3 linked regions of the Nothobranchius furzeri genome follow. The protein of the gene in region 2 interacts with the protein of the main gene of each other region in a pairwise test. Links are inferred from orthologs where the notes say so. Each region holds a gene or a part of one and is shown on either strand. Other genes may lie near its edges.

Region 1 (7,689 bases), on a different chromosome or scaffold from region 2:
GTGTTTCAGCCATTTATGTTGTTGCATATTTAGGTGTTTATGTCACAGTTATCTCCTCAAGCAGATCAGCAGGAAAGTAGCCCAGCTTGCGTCCTGTGCTGACCTTCAAATATCCTCCTTTCTCATCACCTTTTTTCACCACAATCTGGAAGAGAGTGACAGCAGAGCAGCATGACACCAGTGTTGATTTCAAACATCTGTAAGTGGAAGATGCATTTTGTTGCCTCATATGGAGAATTTTAGCATTTAGACAATTTTATTAGCATTTTTTAGCCTTGATTGGGTTCATTAAAGTCATTTCATTGGATGTCTTCAACAAAATACAGAAATAAGTTTAGTGGTACATTCTTCACCCAACTTGTCATTTAAAAGCAAAACAAATCCAACAAAACTGATTCGACGTGTGTTGTTGAGTATATTTAGAAGGTCACCTGATCTTTCTTGAGCGTAATTTGTCCCATTTCTCTGTTGCCAACAAAGGAGCGGGTCACCTTGTAGACTCTCTCTGATGCTCGTACTTTTATGAGGTAGTTGGCAGGGAAGTAGCCCGTCTTCTCCCCCATCTTTCCCTGATAATCCGACAGTTTGAGTTAATCTTCTGCCGGGACACGTATGGAATCAGCGTGTTTCCGTAACTCACCCTCCACCACTCTTCATTGGAGTCATCCAGCACTATGATCCGATCACCAGGGCTAATAAACAGACACATCATGTTTGTTTGAGACACATTCAAGACAAAGGCTTTGTTTTATGATGTCATTTCTATCCTTTAATCCTACTGGAAGTCAAGATCGTCTTTCTCGATTGCCTTGAAGCGGTAGAGAGCCAGGTAGTAGTGGGACCCGGTAAATGTTCCCTTACTCTGTTGACAAAAATGACAGATTATGGAGATTTTAAACAAAATGCATCCTTATGAAATGTTTGCTTTGACCTTCTCGTCTGCTTTGTCTCCTCCTTTTTCTTTCTTATCCTCGGGTTTTCCTGTGCGAACAGTCACCAAGTCCGTTCGTGAAACTTATTAACAGCCATCATTTTTCTTTGCAGAAAACTAATTTCATAGATTTATGCCTAATAGCAATTATTGTGTAATTTACCAAGGTACATTTTCTTACCTTCTCCTGCTTCCTCACTCTCTTTGGGCTGCTGGTTCTCCTCCTCTTCCTCTTCCATCATCATCATCATCTAAAGCACATATAAGTGAATAAATGTTGTGATTTATTGACAATATTCTGAAGTTACCTAAAGTCATTTTGAGCAGTGCATCTGCTTTAATCAATTATTTTTCAAATGTGTGCTTTCATACCTTTGTTGGGTTTGTTTTACACAATGATGTGTTTCTGAAATGTGTTTTATTGTGTTTTTATTGATGAAACTCATCGTAAATACTCACATTTTTCTTGTCATTTTCATTCTTTTTGCGCTCCTTGTTCGCCATGATGACACCAACTCTCAGTGTGTCAAAGACTGGGTCGTTTCGGTTTGGGTTGTCTGGTGTCGGATGGAAAATTTTGGCCAGAAAATATCAGCACTTTCAATTATAAAGCTTTATTTAATGAATAATCTGTAGAAAATGCTATAGTCCAGGCATTACAAACATTAGATTTTTTTATCTCAAATTTTTAGGGATGCACTGATACAAAAAATGGGCTAATATTAAATGGCTATTATTAGACCATGCTGAAGAATTTGATGTTTAATATGTACATGGCATGTAAAAGTTGTGTCATTAAAAGAGTGAAAATCAACTCATTATTTCTGATATTACATTTTAAAGGTGCACTATGTAAAAATATAGTGAAAAATCTACAGTGAGAAAATCCAAAAAGTGTTGGTCATTTTAGAAGGAAGGTTATATTTAAACACATTTCATATCCAGCTGGCTGTGAGGATTGTCAGTTCATCTCATTTCAAAACAAAGGAAAGATGGACGTAACTAGTGTTTACTACCAGTGAGTGTTGTCATGATCCGCCCCGGCCTCCCTGACTGTGTCTCTCCTGCCCTGATTAGCCTTATTGTTCTCACCTGTCCCTCATTACTCTGCCCATGTGTTCCTGATTCCCTTGTGTATTTATACCTCCCTCCTTGTTGCTGTCTTTGTCGGTTCATTGTCGTTTGTGCATGTTCGTTCGTCCTGTTGCTCCCAGTCTACGATTAAACATCTTTTAATTTTTTCATCCGTTGCCTGCTCATCTGCCTCCTGAAACCCACCACCCGCAGAACATGACAAGTGTGGGGTTGTTGTGTCTCCTGCGAGCTAATACTGCAGCGCCGATAGTTGTAATTTGACTACGGCCGGCAAAAAGCTCCAGAGTTGTTTAAAGTGATTGCAGCAACCAGATTTTACCACAGATTGTCATATTTACTTCATTTCTACATAATGCACCTTAAATGCCAACATTAGCTGTTAGTAACGGACATCCCTAAAATATAATTACACCTTTGTAAGGAAGATTTTTCAACATTGGGCACTTCTAACCATTATAAATTGTAGATTGCTCTCAATGATTGATTGATTGACTGATTGACATGATTAAAAATTCACTGCATGACCATCTCTCTCCAAGATACAACAATAGCAACTAGATGGAAGAAAGTATCAGCCAAGTTTTACTTATTGGACCGATACACAGATAAAAAACAAACATCAGCCGATATGATGTTGATGTCGATATTTCCGACCTCCCTACTAATTTTACACATCTGCTTAAAAGAATTCACCGTAAAATTTAATTATTTTACTCTGATTTAGCAGTAATAAATAAAGGATTACTAATTCTAGGAGTGATTGAAGGTTTGATGGACTCACTTGGATCTGGGATGTCGCTGCTGTACAGAGGAGAACTATAGGCTCTTCTAAAGCCAGGTGGCTACAAGACAAAGAAAAAAAAAGAAAAAATTTCAACTAAAACCTTCCATTTAGTCCTGTAGTGCTTTTTTAGACATTTAAATTCAAATGTGTGTGAGAGAGAGAAAACTCACGATTTTTCCAAAGCACTTCTGGAACTCGACATAGGACTGACACGAATGGTGGATGTTGGTCTTGCAGTTTTTACACCTCAGACAAAATTTGTTGTTCACTAAGAGATGTGCAAAGTTAACCGAATCATCATAAATCTCAAAATATGTCTCGTGATATTTTCTGGGTTAAACACGTACAGACTATCATGCGAGCGCAGACGTCACAGAACTTGGGTTTCTTGCAGTAATGGTCCTTAAACTTGTGAGGTTTGTCATTGATCCGAACAATGGGCTCGGAAGGAGGTTCTGGTTCCTTCTCCTCTACCTCCACCTCCTCCTCATAAATAAAATAGACCTGCAAGCAAAGACGAAGAAGAGAACAGTTCCATACAGGTGATCAGGACTTATTTATTAACTCATGAGATATAAACAAACACCATATTGCAGTCCCGTCCCAGCTGGAGGCTATTTTAATCAGCCTGAGAACGGCTGCTAATAGCGAGTGGTTGACGTGGTGCTGCCACTCACCGTGTCTCCTTCCTCCCTCACTACATTGTCAGGGGCTGGAGGATTGTCGTGGATGTCCACGGAGTTTTTGTCATCCTCTCTAAGAAGCACAAAGAGAAAGATGAAGACCAACTGAAGCCACCTGCCATGACTGTGGTGTAAAAACGTATCGCAGAGGGAACATCTGGATCATGTGAGGAGATTTATCAGCAAACGTTAATGTGAAAACTGCTCAAAGTTTGAAGGACATTTTTTTTTACATCGCACCTTTTCCCATCATGCACAAACATCAACCAGCTGGTGATAGGGCTCCAGGATCCAGACCAGTTACATATAAATCCAAACACACACCTTTTTGATGAGTGAACTCTTAAACCAGGAACATTGAGGAGAACCATGATGTGCTTCAACAAGATTCCCCGTTCATCACCTCAAACAAACCTGATTTTAGTCGCACTGGTAAATTTAGAGCTCAGATTTTATTTAGTGAAACCCACAGAGATGTTAGAAACATGCAGCACATGGACATGAACTGTACTCACTGATCCATGGAGTGCTGGAAATATCAGTATACTGCACCCTTAAAAGAAATCATGTACATTTTACTGTCTGTCTTTTCTCAAGATGCACTTGCAGTTTGTCAGTAGCTCGTTTTTCCTAAATGCAAAACAAGGCCACATCTTTTGGATTGCATGTTTCTTTTCTGATTTGCCTACATTTTGAAGGACTTGTTTGTTTTTAAGCACCAAACACGTTCCTGGATGACAAGGGAAATTGTTGCTATAGTTGAAATTCACTATTTCAGACAAGGATCTGGTCAAATTATTAACTATAAAGCAAGCAGAGACATAAAACATGTCTTTAGTCTCTCTCTGTGTGACATTCGGAGCTAATACCTTGTAGCAAACAGTGGTAAAGAGCATTTGTCATCCTGACCTGCTCTATTCTTGGTTTTTGAAATTTGATCTGAAAACTAAATTTAGGAACTGCTGCATGTCAGGAAAATATTCCAGACAGCATAAAAGAATTTCAGGAAAAATGAGTAAATAACGGGCTAAATGGATGTAGCATTCACACAACGTTCCTACAAAACGATTCCATTAGGCATTTTTGCTACTTGAGACATAATTAAAAATTACACATAAACTTCACCATCACTTACCAAGTTATTAGAGGTTACACAGAAAAGGTAAATAAAAAAATGCTTCCCTTCACCTGCTAGATTTTTCTGAAGTGTTATGTGGCCATTGAAGCAGAGTTTGACTTACCAACTGACCAAAATGCTCCCTCACTTTTCAGCACTTCTGGATCCAGTACTGTATGGTCCCTCTGTGTTTCCTTCAGGTTATTCCCACACTGGGCGTGAATGCTGAGTGCGACCCAGATATTTATTAAAGCTGTAAGTTTGTGTATCTATGGGTGTAATTGTGAGCATGACAGGCTGAGCACTGCTTTGTGACGTTGACAGTTTGCAACAGCTGAAGGACCTCAAACTAAGCACCAGTGACGATGAGAAATCAGATATGTTCTCTACACACACACACACACACACACACACACACACACACACACACACACACACACACACACACACACACACACATACACACACACACACACACACACACACACACACACACACGCACGCACGCACGCACGCACGCACACACACACAAAGGTATCTGTCCTGCTCATGGGCCTGTATCCCTCCATTCTTTTGGGAGACCAAGGAGAAACAACAAAAATGACTACATCTCTTTCAAAGTTGTAAAAACTATTTTATTTATATATATGTTCAAGTTGTTCTGAATGCTAGTAGATGCTGCAAAAGCTGGATAAATACATAAAAGAAACATTGATTTTTAAACAATAACTGCCATGTAACTCAACCACTCTAGCAAGCATCTTTATTCGTTGTTTTATTTCATTTGTAACAAATAATCCTATAAAGTTTTTCCTCTGTTTATATACAAAATATTTTTGAGCTGTCAGCCCAGTATTAACTCCAACTCAGAATACTTTTTTACAAAGGTGTATTTTGTTGATGTAGAGGTTAAAACGTTGTACACAAATATAATACATTTATTTGTTTGTGTATTTATTAGTTGTTTACGGAATATTATTCTGTTATGTCCTGTCCACCAAACAGCGCCCCCTGTGGATTGACGTCTGACTGGAACACTACAAATGTCTCGTTGCATGTTGGGTACAATATTCCTTACGTGCTCAGTGCGCCTGCGCAAAACAAAACTCCATTATTTTTTTCTCGGAATTTGTAAGAAAAAAACAGAGGGTAACTGTGAATTGGGGATTACACGGGTCGTTATGTTTGTCGGAATACCATTGAATGCTATGCGGATTAGCAGAAGAAAGACCAAAGCGACGGCTGGATAGGTGTGGAGCGGGAACGGGACATCCCTCTGTCTTTGTGGGACACTCTAGAACAAGTAAATATCACTGAGTTAGCCCCTCCAGTTAGCCTAGCTGGGAACGCTAGCCTCCAGAAGAACCCAGGCGTAGTAAAATGAAGCGTTATTGCCCCCTTTGTTTTTAAGTCCGACTGGAAGACGTTGACTAACATTTGAGTGCTGACTCGCCGTGCCAGTTCGTGATTTGGATTATGTAATGATTCGTTTTAGTTATTAGAGTGTTGATCGTTTTCTACGTATTTTATTTAGTATTAATTTAGTAGTCCTAACTAGCTAACTCTTGATTTTCCAGCGAACGAAAAAGAGCGAAGACTTCTAAACTTGGTGGTCAACACATAGCTTGACGCAGAGAAAGATTGTTCACAACATGTTGACGTTAGCTAACAAATATTTGTTAATAAGTGAAATGTGTGGATAAGTTTCATGAAGGTTTTTAGCTAAACAATGTCGTGCAACGCTCGTTTCTTGTACCCGTAGCTAAGACACTAGAGTTTTGCATCGGGAGTGTTTAGTGCTCCTGACAGCTGTCACGACAACAGAGTACCAAGTGGATTTAGCCTGTTAGCTTAGCTGTTAGCTTACACGTTAGCTGCAATATTTATACCGTAATGTTGTTAAACGCATGCATTTAGACGTTTTTCAGACTCCGTGGGATTTAATTTAAGTCTATTTTCCATTGCTTGTTGTTTTCTGACTTTGTTTTGGGAGAGGCAACTGTTTACATTATAGCGAATCAACTACAGGCCTACCCAAACACACCCTCCTACTTCAAAAAAGCCACAGTTTGCTCTGAAGTTGAACTTTTTCTGAGGTAGCAGGGCATCCGATGTAATCTCTCCTTTTTCCAAGTGTGGTTGAATGAGATCAGTTTGAAGAAAGATTTATTGTAGCACATATTCACCGTGCTCCCCCTCTGCCAGATTACATAATCCACCTCATCCACCTTTCTCTGCAGGCTCTTCATCTAAACCACTATTCTGATGTGACCTGAACTAATAAATCTGTTGGAATCATCCAGGAAGTTGAAGGCTTTCCTCGCAGCGGAAGACATTGCAAGTATTTTGAGGAGTCAGGTTTTTTGCCGAAAGTCTGTGAGCTTCTCAGCCACCAGCATGTACATTGGACAACGGATACTGTAGCCAAAGCAGATCTTGGCTTCCCAAAGATGACAAGGTATTTAATCATGCTGTTTTTCTGTTTCCTATCGCTTTATTTTGTTAAATATATATTTCTCTGTCAGTCATGCAAAGTCTGTATTTCAGCAGTGGCCACACCCACCACATGAAAAACACTGTTTTACACTCTGCAGACAAGATTTGACTTCATCATAGGTTAAAAATCAAAGTAAATAACAATAAATCAGACTTGTTTAACATTTATTTGTCACGTGGAAGTCAGATTCTCCACAGCAAAGTATTATTAAGTCTACTTTAATACTCTCAAACTTCATGTTGCAGATTTAGTGAAAATTTAATTTTACTGTTTGGGTTAAAATGAACATAATCTGTGCAGCAGTGCCAGATTTTTCTTAAATTTCATCCCCCTGTTCTCATTATTTATGAAACATTCAAAAGTGAAGAAAAAGGTGAGATGAGATTTATTAACCATTTGCTGCTTTAGGTGCTGGCAGCCTGCAGCATCAAAATGATGGGAGGCAGGGAGACTGTCAGTGGAGACAAGGATGGGGTCCTCGCCACAGCAATAAACGTTCCCATCGGCTGGCACAGGAAAGTGGAAGGAGGGCAGGTGATCTATGTCAGGTGTGTGGAGGAAACACTCTGCTGGAAGTTAACA
Region 2 (7,781 bases):
AGTTTATTTAAAATGAAATAACTTTACAGGAACAAACTTTACAGGAACAATATTTCCCCTTTCTTTACCAGCTGTTACATACATTTGTGATTATATGGATTAGCTTAAATATACATTAAAGTATTCGAACAATTGCATTGGTTCTATTTGTTTTTTAAAAGTTTCCTCTTTAATTGCAAATACTTTAAGAAACTTGAGAAAATGCCACAGTCAACAAAACAGAGACAAGAAGTTAGAAAAACAGAACAACACAGCTTAAACCAGCCTCTTGTTCATCTGCCATCGTTGTCCAACTAAATCAAACCTTATAAACCAGCTGAAAAAAATAAAACACTTGAGGACTTTTTGGGGAAAATAACGCAGAAAAATAAGATGCAAACAGAAAGCCAACTCTTCCCAGCATGCTCATTTCTTCTTTCTCTTCTTCTTTGGAGGCCCTTGATCTGAATCGCTGCTGCTTCCCGAGTCTGAGCTGTTTGATGACGAAGAGGTGGAGGAGGAAGATGAGGAGGAGCTGTCGTCGCTGTCGCTGCTGCTATCGTCTGAAGATGAGCTGGAGGAGTCGCTGCTGTCTGACGAGTCGCTGGAGGAGCCGTCGGCATTGCTGCTGTCGTCGCTGGAGTCTTTTGCCCTAAAAGCGCGGCACAAGGAGAGAACAGGATGGGAGCAGTAAAATGTAAACCTGTTTGCAGGGTTGTGTCAGTCAACACTGCGTCGCCTACAGGTTGTGCAGAACAGCGCTGCCAGGTTCCTGACTGGGACCAGGAAACGGGACCACATCAGTCCAGTTCTGGCCTCCCTGCACTGGCTTCCGATTTCCTATCGCTCACAATTCAAAATCCTCGTCTTTGTTTATCATTTCTTCCAGGGTGGTGCTCCCCCCTATCTGGCCACACTCCTGAACAGACATTCCCCATCACGCGCTCTGCGCTCCTCTGACCAAGGCCTGCTTGCTGTCCCTCGGTCTAGGTGTCGTACCCGTGGGGACCGGGCTTTCTCAGTCCTAGCACCGTTACTCTGGAACCAGTTGCCACCCTCAGTTAGGCTGTCCCCCTCTCTGCCAGTCTTTAAGAATCACCTAAAAACACACCTCCTCCACTTGGCGTTTCCAGAACATGTTTGATTATGGCCCTCTATTATGTTGAATCCATTCCACAGTTTTCATTGGTACACTCAATCCATCCACTCAATCCAATTGTGTTTCACACATTTGTATTTTACCGGAATGTTTCATCTATTTTGTTATTTCCATTTTGTATTTTGTAATTTGAATTTCTTTTATTGTTGATTTATTCAGTATAATTACTTACAACTGTACCATGTTCAGCGCTTTGGGCTTCCTGACAGGGTTGCGGAAGGCGCTTTATAAATAAAGCTTTGATTGATTGATTGATTGATACATCTACTGGAATGTTAAACAGGCAGCTGTGGGTGTCATCTTGCACAAACATAGTGACAAAAAGATTTTCACATTCGTAAAATAACAAAAAATGTCTGAAATGTTGGTTCTTTGCAGCTGTCCTGTCTCTGAGATCATATGAGATGATTTTCTGCAAAAGTACATGTTTTCAAACAAATGTATTGGAGATTTAGCAGTAATACCCTTATTTATGTGTCTTCTTTAGCCAATAATAGCTTATTTGAAACACATGTAAACACCAGTTGATGCAACAACAAAAAAAAAGCATTTATTGCAAACACATTAAAATTGAATTTAAGTACTTTTTACTGAACAGTTTTTAACCCTTTAGGCCCAAGGCCTTTTTTCTTTGGGCCCTGGCACCTCCCAGTTGGGGGCCTTTGGAGTTCCATGTCCCAAGTCCCCGAGCACAACTACAGCTACTATCAAAACTGTTTAGATTGTAAACAAAGTAATTTTTGGATTTTGATACATTAAGATAAAATAATACTTGAACTGTATGTTAGAAGAGCTGCCCTGTGTGAAAGTGCTGACAGGATGGAGGTTGTGAGTTCAAATTCCATTTAGGAAATGTTGTCAATTGTTTTATTTATTCCAGGGTCCTCAACTAAATGTGTTCAAGGGTTTTTTCCCAGCAGACACCAGAGAAGGTCAGATGCTCTTCTAAAATAAAGTTCAAAGATCGTTGTATCTTAATTTATTACCATTTAAAATGGCCTTGTTTCCCATCTGGGCTGTTTGATTGTGGTTTTAGTTGTGTTTGGAGAACGTGGACAGTTGTAGATGTTTGGGACATGAAACTGTAGAGGCACCCAATTGGGGGGCGTTAGGGTTAAACAGGCTAAGATACATTTAAATCTTTTTATAATTACTTTTTTAATTGACTTTCCAATTAATCTGTAACAACAATTTAACTGATGGAAAATGTGAAGCTGTTCTACTATCACAGTACAAAAGAAACAAGAATCAAATGTAAATTCACTAAGAGTCTTGTCTAAAAACAGACAATAACCAAGAAAATGGTTTCACTTCTCATCAACTGCCACTAGATGGAACTGTTAAGTCACAATTCTGTTTAAAGTGGTACAAGTTGAGAAATATGAACATAAGAATTAAAATATCATCTTTATGAATAAAAAAATCTTTTACATCCAAAAATGAATGACTAGAAATGACCACACCACAGCTATGAAACTTCTTTAAAATATTTCAATATAGTAAATTATAGGGATGTAAGAAAATATCGATATGACAATATATTGTGATATTTTTTCCTGCAATATTGTATCGATCTTTAAAAGCCACATGGAATTTACATGCAAACATTTGTGTATTTTCTTTTCTTTTGGTGCAATTCAAACGCCGACCACTAGGTAGCAGCAGTGTGCAATGGGTTTTGTTTCCACCATTGAAATATAAATCCCTTTCTCTATTCCACCTTCCTCAGGATGCACTGATTTCCCTCTTTCCTATTCACTCTCTCTCTCTTTCTTAACATTTTTTTTAATCACAATTGTCTATTTTTTGCTCATTTTAAATATATTTTTAACCATTTTCTAAATTATTTTTTATATTTTTACATTTTTTGTTTTTGTGAAGCGCCTCGTGATTTTTATCTTGAGAGGCGCTATAGAAATGATATTTTCTTCTTCTTTATAAGATACCTTATATTGAACATGTTACATTTCAGTTTGGACTGGACTGAGTTTCCCTACAATAAATTCTGTCAAAAAAAAATGCTAATATCATCTGGCTGAATGTATCACAATATATTGTGATATATCGAATTTGTCTCCCCTGTATCTTGATACGTATCGTATTATCAGAGTTTCACCAATACACATCCCTAGTAAATTATCAGATTACTTACTTCTTTTTTGTTTTCTTTTCACTGGAAGCTTCTCCTCCAGGTCTGTGATGTGGAAAAATCACAACATTATATATAGTTCAGTCACTATTGATAAAATCATTTGTTTGTATTTTTATGTATTTTAGTTAAACAAATTCAACTTCTATTTGAGATCATTTGAAACACTGTCAAAATTTAAGAATTATTTATAAATCTAATTTCACTGTAAAAACTGAGTTCTCAGTTATAATTATCATTTTTTGTGGGTTTATTTATGCACAGTTAGGCTGGGCGATCTAGCCTAAAATCAATATCACGATATATTGAGGATTTCACCTTGGTATGCGCAGAAACAAAAGTTGTCCATAAATGGGGCTGTCACATGTATTACGTTGAATCAAATTTTTAAGTCACTCAAGGTTGCACAGCTTCTTAAAGGGACATGGATTTTGCCAACCTACACACATCTTTTCATTTTTTTATTATCAAATTTAATGACATGGGAACATTTATCGATAAGAGTCAGAAATTTCAATAACGATACATTTTCGATTTATTGCCCAACCCTACATGAAGTCCAGGTGTAAATGACTTGTCCTTCAAACTGTCAGAGATGACTCACCCTGTGATGCTGAGAGGTTTGTTTTCTATCTCCTTCAGCTTCTTTTTCATTTCGGTTGTTCTTGACGGTCGGTGCAAATATTTCCGTTTCCCAGTGCACTCGTAAGTCCAGTGTCCCATCTCCAAGCACTTCTGACAACGCACATTTTGTTTGTTTGCCTCCCTGTAAGCAATAAAAATAAATAAATACCTTCCAAACAGGAAAAAATACATAAACTACAGAAGTAAGACATTTGCACATACATGTATTTGTTGTCAGATTACTTAAAATTAATAATGAATGGAACAAATGATTCCAGTATAAATTATGAAAAAAATGATGGCTGCCGTAGTTTAACTCCACCAGCAGGTGTCACTATAAGCAATGAATGATGCATCGAAGACGTGAACCTCTGGGCAAAGAAAATAGTTGAGAAGCTACACGAAGCTTTATGTAGCCATCTCATAATTAATACACTAGTAATGAATACTTCATTTTAAACTCAGAAACTCGCAGGTGTTCCACCAAAGAAACTGAAACCCCACCAATAATCACAAATTATCAAAACTCTGCCCAAGTCCCGATTCTTCTCAATACTTTGATCCGACTATTGGTTATAACTATATTGACATTAACATCGATGTAAACAAAATTATTTTTTACTTAAACTGGGGTATTATAAAAATAAATAACAGCTTCAGAAGAGTACAGTTTCACACAACGTAGCGCTTCGTAGAGCCGCGGGATGCCCGTCCCTCCAAGTTCGTTCTTTACAGGCTGAATGTAAAACTGTAGGTCAGCTATAGACCGCACGTGGTAACGTAACAAATGTAGACACAAAATATACTAAAATAATATTGCTACGCTAAGTTTAAAAATGTTTTACTCACGCTTGTCTTCTCGCTATTATTCTATGCATGGGAGTCGCCATGTTTGAAGTCTCTTCTTCGTTGGTGTCAGCTCAGGGCCTATTTCCGGAAATGTAAAGGAGTGAAAAGAATACGTAACCACCCGTGTCGTCGCCATTTTGGATGGGTCTCTTCATTCTCCGAAGGCAATGCAGAGTACGCAACTATGCCCGTTTTTGTGCATCCCACGGTTACAACAACCCGCGTACAATTGTAAATAGATCATGTGGGATTACTATAGTGACTTTTCTAGCCTACCTGATAGGATTTTAGATTTGTATTTGTTTATTTATTTTGTTTAATTACACTGACAGACACACTGACAGAGGCAGACTCGCCTCTGGTAGTGTGCCGAATGGAGACTAAGATGGCAGCCGGCCACTTCGGCAGCTCCAATAGGCAGCGCCATCCCATGAGGTGTCTACGTATTTACTCTTTGTATGGGGTGACACTGGCACAGGAGTTAAGTGCTCGTCCCATAATCGGAAGGTTGCAGGTTCAAGCCCCACTCAGTCTGTCGCTGTTGTTGTGTCCATGGGCAAGATACTTAACCCCCCTTGCTTGCTGATGGTGGTCGGATGGACCAGTAGCGCCAGCGCTCGACAGCCTCGCCTCTGTCAGTGTACCCCAGGGCAGCTGTGGCTAGAATGTAGCTCATCGACCAGACCAGGGTGAGCATGACTGTGTTGTAAAGCACTGTTACGTCCCCGACAGGAGGTGTTAAAATGTGAAGGAAGGGGAACACAAGAAACATGATAGTGGGTTTAAAATGGGTTTAATTGTTATAAAAGGTTCTAAAAACAAGTGCAAACAGATGGTGAGCATTGTTTAAAAAATGCCAAACAAAAAAAAAACTCTCAAAAAGGTTAACACTAAAAGACCAATTACCAACATTAAAAACACCTGGTTAAAACTTATATTAAAAGTTTTACTGAACAGAAAGTGTTTCCAAAATCTTCAAGTTGATAGTAAAATCTGACACACTAGAAAAACACTGAGTGTTTTAAAATCCCAAAGTCAGTAAACTACAACGTTAACCTTAAAACCAAGTCAACCAAGTTGACATCAAACAAAGATCCCTTTGGATCACTCAGAGTTAAAACTATTAAAATTAAGACTCATCAAAATGAAGGGGTTGAAACCAAAATGAGGCATGAATAACAGCTTAGCCCCTGCACTGCTGCCTCCCAGACTGCTGAAGGCACGGCCTTTTTATCCCAGGTGTAGGTCACCAGATGATTTAGCTCAGCTGTGCTCCTCAGCAGCCTGGAAGAAAGGAGGAAGAGGGGCGGTGCCTGGCTGATCACCGAGGCTGGGTGATCCTGGCTCCTGCACCTGAAGAGGCCAGGCTGGTGGCCACAACAAGCTCCTTGGGAGGTTCCAGGACTCTAGAAGGTGCTATGTCAAATACAGGCCATTTACCATTTTACTTTGGTGCCTGTCACTATTTAACAGGCACTCAACCCGTTAGAGAATGCTCGACTTTCAATTTGTTTAAAGGCAAATGTTAAAAACTGGTTATGGACAAATCAAGTGTGTGATCATGTACGAGTTGTATAGTTTTGATGTTTTATTTGTGAATAGAATGGCGTAGGTTTGGTGATGGAGTTTTGATTATGAATGAATGATGAATTTTCATGAATCATTATGTCTTTTTATGTCTAAGGACAACAGATGGAAATTAGCCTTTGGCTATAATCTGGCATGTTTACATTCATGTAAGCTGCATTTACATTTATGTTCATTAACATGCACTGTCCTAAATAAATAAATAAAGAGCACTTTTCCTGGTATGTGTGGGGGGTGTCTGCTCTGTTTCCTCGATCCTCAGTGAGTCGTGGCGGATGGCAATTCCTACTGAGCCAGGATCCTCTGGAAGTTTTTCTTGTTAAAAGGGAGTTTTCCACTGTCGCTACTTGCTTAGTATGAGGATTGCTGTAAAGTCACTGACACCAGTCAGTGACTCCATGCAATTTGCTAGGTTCCTTATATAGGAAACTTTTTACTGATTGGCTTAATGAACTGAACCGCTTTAGAATGTTTACTTTGTGAAGTGCCTTGAGACGACTCTTCTTGTAATTTGATGCCATATAAATAAACTGAATTAAACACAATTTAATTGACTTCATCATTTAGGACTTGGTCCTGATGATGGATCTACAGATGTTCTTTGGTGACTCTTATTTACATGCGTGCAGACATGATGCTGGTGTGATGCTGGCACGATGCACACACAGCGTTATGTAACTGATCACATGAGTCAATGGTGTTTCATGTTGAGTCATAGATGGAGACAGGGTTTAAATGTGAAGCAAAATGTTTTATCCATGAGTGCTGAAATATTGTAATTTGAGTCTACATCTGGCCTACAGAGTCACCAAGGCAACATCTGGTGCAACACCCATGAAAGAGATACAGGCTGGGTAAGTTGTTGTTTCTATAGAAGCTAAACAGAGAAAACAAAGTTGAATGGCATATAGCTTTAAATGCAAATGTAGAGGGAGATGTGCGTTCAGTTTTTCTCCCAGAAGTCTAGGTCTGAAGGGATGAGTCAGAATAACTGTGACTAACAGACCTATTTTTGTTCTGGACAGCATCTGCATCATGAATGAAAGCTGGTTCTACAAGAGAATCCTGAGATCTGCTCTGCTTCCCAATTCACTTAATTCCACTTTAATGTCAAAACTGTTTCTTCACATCCCTGGCGCAAACAACAACACAAGTAATGATATAATGACAAAAAACATATGAAGTTAAAAGAAGACAGAATACCTAGTGGTATTGGTGCAAGCAGCAATGGGGAAAAGCCTCCAGTTGTGCAAGTTCTCCCAGTTAAAAAGATGAGTGGCCTGTAATTTTCATCATAGGTATACCTCAACCATGAGAGACAAAATGAGAAAAATATCCAGAAATTCACATTGTCTGATTTTTACAGAATTTAAATGAAAATAATTGTGGAAAATTACTGTTTGGTTTCCTACAAACAAGCAAGATTTCTGACTC
Region 3 (7,781 bases), on a different chromosome or scaffold from region 2:
CAGAGCGGGAGCAAAACGGAGACAGAGAAAGAGGAAATTCAAACCATCTCTTCCATCGATCATAATGGGCAATGTGAGATCACTGGCCAACAAGATGGAGGAACTCCAAGACCTTTCAAGGACTCAGCCAGAGTTTCGGCAGTTTCAGAACCGCTGGAGGAGATAATGCATAGAAGGATTCTCCAGAGAATCAAGAAAATGATGGACAAGCATTCTCGTCACAAGACTGTCCGACAACGGAAGAGTGTCTTCAGTCAGAGGCTTCTTCAGTTTGGCTGCAACACTGACCGCTACTGGAGATCCTTCCTGCCAACAGCCATTGTAATATACAACAACTCTTTGATGACTTGATTATTATTATTACTCTGAGCTACTACAGCAATCAATTTCCCTCTGGGATTAATAAAGTATTTTTGAATTGAATTGAATTGAATATTATTGAGATGCAAATTACCATAAAATGGTAAATGACCTGTGTTTGATACAGCACCTTCTAGAGTCCTGGAACCCCCCAAGGCGCTTTACAACACAATCAGTCGTTCACACATTCACACCCTGGTGGGGATGAGCTACGATGTAGCCACAGCTGCCCTGGGGCGCACTGACAGAGGCGAGGCTGCCGAGCACAGGCGCCACCGGTCCCTCCGACCACCACCAGCAGGCAACGTGGGTTAAGTGTCTTGAATTGAATTCTTTATTGTCGTTATGCATACACATAACAAAATTTGGTTGGCAGCTCTCAGCTTAAAGGGCACCAAGACCACAAATAGAATGATAAAAACATGAAGAGTAAAACAAAAAAAGAACAATACATAACCTTCCTTTCAGGGAGCCATACACACACTCGTAACATGAGTAAAAGAAGCTGAATAATTTAAAAGATATAAAAGATAAATGTTGCACTGACTGACATTCTGATCGTACTGATCAACATGTTGATTGATATTATTGCACATAGAAGATTCAAGTGTGAAAAGGACAATAGCAGCATGAAAAAACAGGATCATTGTAAATTACAACCAAGCCATCATTGAAAGTCTAATAGTCTCATGGGTCTTTGGTTGGGAGTGTAGGTGTCTACAGGGTCACAGAGGTGGGGGAAGGATTACAGGAGGGGTGGGGTGGGAGGGGGGCAGATGGCTTTAACAGCTCTTTGGAAGAAGCTGTTCCTCAGCCTGGTGTTTGTGGCCTTGATATTCCTGTAACATTTCCTGGACGGTAGCGGCATAAACAGTTTGTGACCTGGATGGAAGGAATCAGCAGCGATACGGTTAGCCTTCCTTTGTAGTCGGATGGTATATACTGAGTCCAGATCTGGTAGCGGGCTCCCCACGATCCACTGAGCAGTTTTCACCACCCTGGCCAGGTCCTTTTTGTTCTGGACGGTACAGCTCCCATACCACACCGTCATACTGAGTGATAGGATGCTCTCAACCATGGCTCTGTAGAAGTTCTTAAGCAGTTGGGGGGAGAGACCGGCTCCCTTCAGTTTCCTAAGGTAGAAGAGTCTTTGTTGGGCCTTCTTTACCAGAAAGGAAGCGTTTAGTGACCAGGTTGGATCTGAGGTGATGTGGATGCCCAGGAATTTGATGTTGTCTACACGCTCTACTAGATCCCCCAAAATGAGTTGGGTTAAAGGCTGCTGATTTTGAAGCCATGATTGGTGTACTTAAGCTAAACTGGATAAAAGCTTCTTAGGTGTGTTCTTGCTGTGTCGTATCTCTTAATTCCATGCTGTAGTTCTTTTTTAAAACACATAGCAGTTTTTGTTTACCTGTTTTCCCGCTACGTTTTGTTTGCGGCTGAGGAAGTTTGCAGCCGCAAACGAAACGTAGTGGGAAAACAGGTAAACAAAAACTGCTCTGTGTTTTAAAAAAGAACTACAGCATGGAATTGGATAAAAGCTGTTTTAATACAACCACATTCTATGTGGTTCCACACACCAAAATATATATTTCCAAAAGGTTGGAGGATTAGAATTCCTGTTAAAATGTGACTTTGACATATCTAAATTACCAATCAAACTATCTGACTTCCATAAACAAATACTGCTCTAATGGAAAATGATATTCAGCCACAACTTTACACCACATAGCTCTACCTTGTGGAATAATAGAACCATTGTAATTAATAGGAAGACTATATTCAAAAAAGAATGGTATGACAAAAACATTTTACATGTGACAGATTTGATAGATAAAAATGGCAATTTGTTACAATTTGAATGTTTTGTCGAAAAATTTAATTTTAAAATTTAATAATCAAATCAGTAGAGCTGTTCCACTTCCTTTAAAATTCATGATTAAAAATACCTTGCTTAATTCGAATGTGGTGATTAAACTTCCTGAGTTGAAAATTGGCAAATTTAAATTAGGTGAACAAAAATGTAATAACAAAGTACTTGGAAGTATGTTAAAAATAAGTTATTCTATGATATTGAAAAATCAACAACAATAAAAATCACAGGAAAGGAAACTACATTAACAAAGCCATAGTGCAGCTATCTTAAATGGCCAATTGCACCCAAGTTGAAAGAAATTAAATTCAAAATAATACATAATATCTATCCTGCTGCCGAAACATTAAGAAAAAAGATTTAATTTTGAAGGGAATCAGTGTGTCTTTTGTATGACAGAATGTGAAACTATTGAGCACATTTTCTTCTCGTGTTCAGTAACAATTGGTTTTTGGGAGGATGTTTATCGATTATTAAATATTGAGAGAAATGATGTGTGGCTTAACAAATCTAAAGTGTTGATATACATGGATGCTCTTCCAAAAAAGATATCCAAAATGGTGAACATTATTTTCAACATGGGAAAATACCATATACATAAAACTGAATGGAAAAACAGCAAGTCTAACATTAACCATTTTAAAAATGAAATAAAACAATTTAAAACATCTCTAAAAGTATTATCAGAAAATAGCCAATCTATAACTGAGTTGTACGAAACAATGTCTGAGTTTCTTGTTGTTTAAATTACAGTCCAATGAATCAAACATGTTTGAAATATAATGTTGAAATATCAACCTCTGAACATTTTTTTGTTTGTTGATATGTTATTTTTATTTTAATTATTATTATCTTGCATCATAATTTATTTTATGGTATAGTGTCATGTGGTAATTGTTGCAAGTTCTAAATGAAATTTTTATTTTCCTCAAGTGAGGTCATTTGTATTTTCTATATTCTTCAGTACGTTGAATGTAGGTTACATTGTAAACTGAATGTATGTGAAATCGCAGATTGAAAATAAGGTAAAAAAAAAAATTAAATAAAAAAAAATTAATAATAAAACATACAAAAAAACCACTGGTAGGTGGCAGTAATGAGCACTTCCGGTTTAGATCGCGACGAAGAAGAGTGAAAACCGGAAATTACTGTTTCTCCCTTTCGACGAAGCTTAATAAACAAAACGAAGCAATATATAGCGAATATAAAGATCTGTCTTGGGCTTTGGGTCCATAGCTACGTTACGTAGAGAATAAATGGTTTGAATAAAACCCTGAAACTGTAGTAAAGTAAATACGGACTAGCATCCTCTGTACCCAAGCCGTTAGCTAGAGATGTTTATTTTAGTTCTTTCGGCCAAATAGCGCGCGACATGATGGCATGAAACCGCGGCGCTGTTACGACAGAAAAACTCATCTTCTAAAGGTAAGCTTGAATATCTAATCGGAGCACGTTAGTAACAAAAACGTTACTAAAAATCTGCATACATTTTTACACAAGTTCGCTGAATTTTAAGATGGGAGATAAAAAACGTGTTTATTGTAAAACCCATTTCCGACCGCTCTTAGTTAATCAACTTAACTAGTTTCTGTCTGAAATTTATTTTACTGAGTAAAACGAAACTTTTTTACGGTGTTGGTGTCGGGGTTCACTTGTGAGTAATCTTTCTTTCCCCCCACCTTGCCCTCGAGTCCTCTGAAGGTTGTGAGGAGCAGGTGAGCAGCGGTACTCGGTAAAACCTCCACAGCGTCACCGTCATGGCGTGGGCTCTGAAGCTGCCCCTCACGGATGAGGTGATCGAGTCCGGGCTGGCCCAAGACTTTGATGCCAGTCTCTCTGGTATCGGCCAGGAACTTGGTGCCGGAGCCTACAGTATGAGGTACACCCTGAGTTTGTTGTTTCTCCTTGTGGAGGGAATTAACGTGCGCTCTGCTAATCTGGATGCTCTAACTAAATTTTAGCCTATTAATTTATTGCCATTGTTGATATCAAGTGAATAATAAAAATCTTTCAGGTTAACGTGTAGGTTTTTGCATTCTTTCTGACATTTACTTGTTTGTGTAAGCTTTAGTCCATACGTTTAGGATTGAAATGGATTCTTCAGCTGTACGTTTGAATATCAGCCTTCTCTTACCCTGACTCTGACCTTTACTTTTGTGTTGAGCTCTTTTTCTTTGTGCCACTGGACAATATTTTTAGACGAGGGGCATCTTAAAACCTGGATCAGCTAAAATTGCTCACACATTATTAAATTGCTATGAATCACAGATGTGCACATACATCTACAGAACAAATGAATAGCTGTACGCGTTCACTGTTTGGTTCGATTACGATGGAACTGATTTATTCTAACTGCAGGATCTCTCAAAACATTAGCAAAGCTGATGATGTGGTGTATCTTATGTTTATGAGAGTGAATTAACTCCTTTTCTGGAGACAGATGTGTTTTTTGTGGTTTATTAAGAGCTATGAAACGTGTCTGGTCACTGGAGAAATTCCTGTGTTGAGGGGAGCTCTGACATGAGCACTGGAGACATTGGTATTTAGTTGTATTCCCTCCATTATAGTGAATGAGCAGCACAGTGTGTTGTGTTAGTGAAGGTCATCAAACAAGCAGAAAAAGGGGGATTTGGTTGTCTAAAGCTTTCTTGAATTTAAAGAGTTGAATGTTTCTCACTGAAGTGAAAAGATTTTAGCAGCTCACAGGCAGCACTTTTTTTACTGCTCTCTTCTCCAGCGACGTGCTCGCCCTCCCCATTTTCAAGCAGGAAGAATCCAACTTGCCTCCAGATTCTGAAAACAAGATCCTCCCTTTTCAGTATGTTCTGTGTGCACCTACCTCACCTGCTATTAAGCTACACGATGAAACCCTCACCTACCTCAACCAAGGTCAGTATCAGGATCCTCACCTTGCTACGTTTTTTTGACTTTGTGTAAAGTCAAGGTCCAAGAGAGGAGAGGTTCAGATCCTCACATGTCATTCTGTTTAGGATTGATCAGACAATTAAATCAACTTATTTCTTTTTTTTTCTTGCCTGAATGGATTTATGTAAAATTTTGTTTCCCTTTGATTTAAGTTAGTTTTAACAGTGAAACAATAAACTGAAAGTAATAGAAACTGGCTTTAATGTATATGAGCAAAGCAGTCAGTAAGTTAGAATAGAGCATCTGAATGTTTACCACATTATTCTTTTTACAGATTATGTTCTTTTATAAATAGCTATGTAGTTGTGCTTGATAACATAAAGATGCATGCCTTGCATGACTGAGGAGTGTGTCCGCGGTGTGTGACGGCCCTCTTGGAGGCGGGATCTTAATTTGAAGTTGTTTCTCTCTGCTAATGCAGGGCAGTCCTATGAAATAAGAATGCTTGACAATCAGAAAATTGGGGAACTTCCTGAAATCACTGGTAAAATGGTCAAGGTGGGAGTTATTTCAGTGTGTTTCTGTTGTTTAATGATTGCTGGACTAAATCATGTATATCACATATGTGTGTATACTCGTTTCAGAGTATTATCCGCGTGGTGTTTCACGATCGGCGGCTTCAGTACACGGAGCACCAGCAGCTGGAGGGCTGGCGCTGGAACAGGCCTGGAGACCGGATCCTTGACCTGGGTGAGCCCCGTGGAGAAAACGGCCGTTTTCATCTGGACTTTTAAAAGAATGATCTGCACGTTCACCATTGGCTGGTTTTATGATAAAAGCATGTTTATTAACAACATTGGTGATAAATTTGGTGCTCAAACAAGAACTTTTGGATCATTGCAGATATCCCCATGTCAGTGGGTATGATCGACCCCAGGGCCAACCCCACTCAGCTAAACACTGTGGAGTTCCTCTGGGATCCCTCAAAGAGAACCTCTGTTTTTATCCAGGTAGCATCAAAGTTGCAACTTTACTTTACTTTCTAACGCTTCCTTCTCTGGACTTCTGATTGATTTTAGTCTTTTAAAGGTAACTTAGTGAGTTTAACCAATTTAGTGCTGTTTTGGGAATAGTCTGGTCCAAGCTACCACAGGAGAGTTTACATCTTTAGTTTACTTCCAAAACTTACAGAAACTAGTTGTCATAAAAGGACCTTTACTGTAAACCCTCTGTTATTTGGCAACTAAGCGGTTTGTGTAGTCTGACAAGTGGTAAATGTCAATCTTTGTTTTCTTTGTTCGGGGCAGCAGTAGCTCAGGTGGTAGAGCGGGTTGCCTCATGATTGGAGGGTCATGGGTTCGATTCCAGCTCCTGCCAGGGGCATCCTGCTGCTGTGTCCTTGGGCAAGACACTTCACCCAACTTTCCTGTGTTAGTGGTGGTCAGAGAGGCAGACGGCGCCAAATGGCAGCCTCGCCTCTGTCAGACCTCCCCAGGGCGGCTGTGGCTACAAGTAGCTTACCATCACTAGCAGTGTGTGAATGTGAGAGTGTGTGATAGCGTCTCTGGGTGTCTAGAAAAGCGCTATATAAGTTCAATGTATTATTATTATTATTATTATTATTATTATTATTTGTTTTGTGGGTCTGAGGCTGGAAATGATCATCGTAATTAGTCAGAACTAGGGATGTAAGAAAATATCGATATGGCAATATATCGCGATATTTTTCCCAGCAATATTATATCGATATTCAAAAGCCGTGTATCGGAAATATCGATATGGCAAATATCATGATATTTTTTCTTGCGATTATTACATCAATATTCAAAAGTCGCGGATCTAATTCCTGAAAGAATTTACACCCAAACATTTGTGTATTTTCTTTTCGTTTTGCGCAATTCAGTCGCCACCCGCTAGTTGGCAGCAGTGTGCGACAGGTTTTGTTTCCACCACTGAAATGTAAATCCCTCCATCATGGTGCAGATACCTCATGTTAAACATGTTACGTATCAGTTTGGACTGTTTATTGAACATTCTTACAATAAATTCAGTAAAAAAATTGCTTGTAACGTCTGACTAAATGTATCGCAATATATCGGGATACATTGTATCATCTCCCCTGTATCGTGATATGTATCGTATCGTCAGAATTTCAAAAATACACATCCCTAGTCAGAACATGGTTTTACAAAACATCATTTTTTATTGGTTACGCTTAAAAAATTTGTCGGATTTAAGCCAATATTCCCCTATTTCTAGGTTCACTGCATCAGTACAGAGTTCACCATGCGTAAGCACGGGGGAGAGAAAGGCGTCCCGTTCCGCATCCAGATTGACACTTTTAAAGAGAATGAGAACGGAGAATACACGGAGCATCTGCACTCAGCCTCCTGCCAAGTCAAAGTCTTCAAGGTTAGGATGAAAGAAAGCATGAAACCAGACGTTGGGAGTGTTCACAACCGAGGATTTAATTTTCTCTGTGTGAACCGTTTCAGCCCAAAGGTGCAGACAGGAAACAGAAAACGGACAGAGAGAAGATGGAGAAGAGAGCCCCGCAGGAAAAGGAAAAGTACCAGTCTTCCTACGAAACTACAATTCTAACGGAGGTACGCTTTCTCTGAAGGTGCCGTAAGCTTCGATCGGCCTCATTCACTTGGTATTTTACTGGTGTAAGCAGCTC

What was found.
Region 1: the proteins of zcchc10 (region 2) and stac3 interact in binary tests that used the Homo sapiens proteins (3 or more experiments, as listed by UniProt). The two-hybrid records come from large-scale screens. The link is inferred for Nothobranchius furzeri from reciprocal best matches to the Homo sapiens genes ZCCHC10 and STAC3.
Region 3: the proteins of zcchc10 (region 2) and tfcp2 interact in binary tests that used the Homo sapiens proteins (3 or more experiments, as listed by UniProt). The two-hybrid records come from large-scale screens. The link is inferred for Nothobranchius furzeri from reciprocal best matches to the Homo sapiens genes ZCCHC10 and TFCP2.

What each region holds. Positions count from the first base shown.
Region 1 is NC_091755.1:32,733,353-32,741,041, reverse strand, and holds the start of stac3 (SH3 and cysteine-rich domain-containing protein 3), read right to left. Parts: upstream 4,934-7,689; 5' UTR 4,735-4,933; intron 4,047-4,734; 5' UTR 4,017-4,046; coding exon 4,009-4,016; intron 3,567-4,008; coding exon 3,488-3,566; intron 3,315-3,487; coding exon 3,158-3,314; intron 3,079-3,157; coding exon 2,981-3,078; intron 2,869-2,980; coding exon 2,808-2,868; intron 1,489-2,807; coding exon 1,391-1,488; intron 1,183-1,390; coding exon 1,113-1,182; intron 982-1,112; coding exon 932-981; intron 863-931; coding exon 780-862; intron 693-779; coding exon 641-692; intron 570-640; coding exon 432-569; intron 146-431; coding exon 38-145; 3' UTR 1-37. Other genes in the region: mbd6 (methyl-CpG-binding domain protein 5), read left to right, coding at 7,540-7,655. UniProt on the Homo sapiens protein: Required for normal excitation-contraction coupling in skeletal muscle and for normal muscle contraction in response to membrane depolarization. Required for normal Ca(2+) release from the sarcplasmic reticulum, which ultimately leads to muscle contraction.
Region 2 is NC_091750.1:56,825,013-56,832,793, reverse strand, and holds the start of zcchc10 (zinc finger CCHC domain-containing protein 10), read right to left. Parts: upstream 4,887-7,781; 5' UTR 4,802-4,886; coding exon 4,761-4,801; intron 4,054-4,760; coding exon 3,892-4,053; intron 3,333-3,891; coding exon 3,291-3,332; intron 632-3,290; coding exon 406-631; 3' UTR 1-405.
Region 3 is NC_091755.1:37,311,195-37,318,975, forward strand, and holds the start of tfcp2 (transcription factor CP2), read left to right. Parts: upstream 1-3,434; 5' UTR 3,435-3,661; intron 3,662-3,927; 5' UTR 3,928-3,993; coding exon 3,994-4,115; intron 4,116-4,973; coding exon 4,974-5,125; intron 5,126-5,582; coding exon 5,583-5,659; intron 5,660-5,745; coding exon 5,746-5,851; intron 5,852-6,004; coding exon 6,005-6,111; intron 6,112-7,360; coding exon 7,361-7,513; intron 7,514-7,596; coding exon 7,597-7,707; intron 7,708-7,781.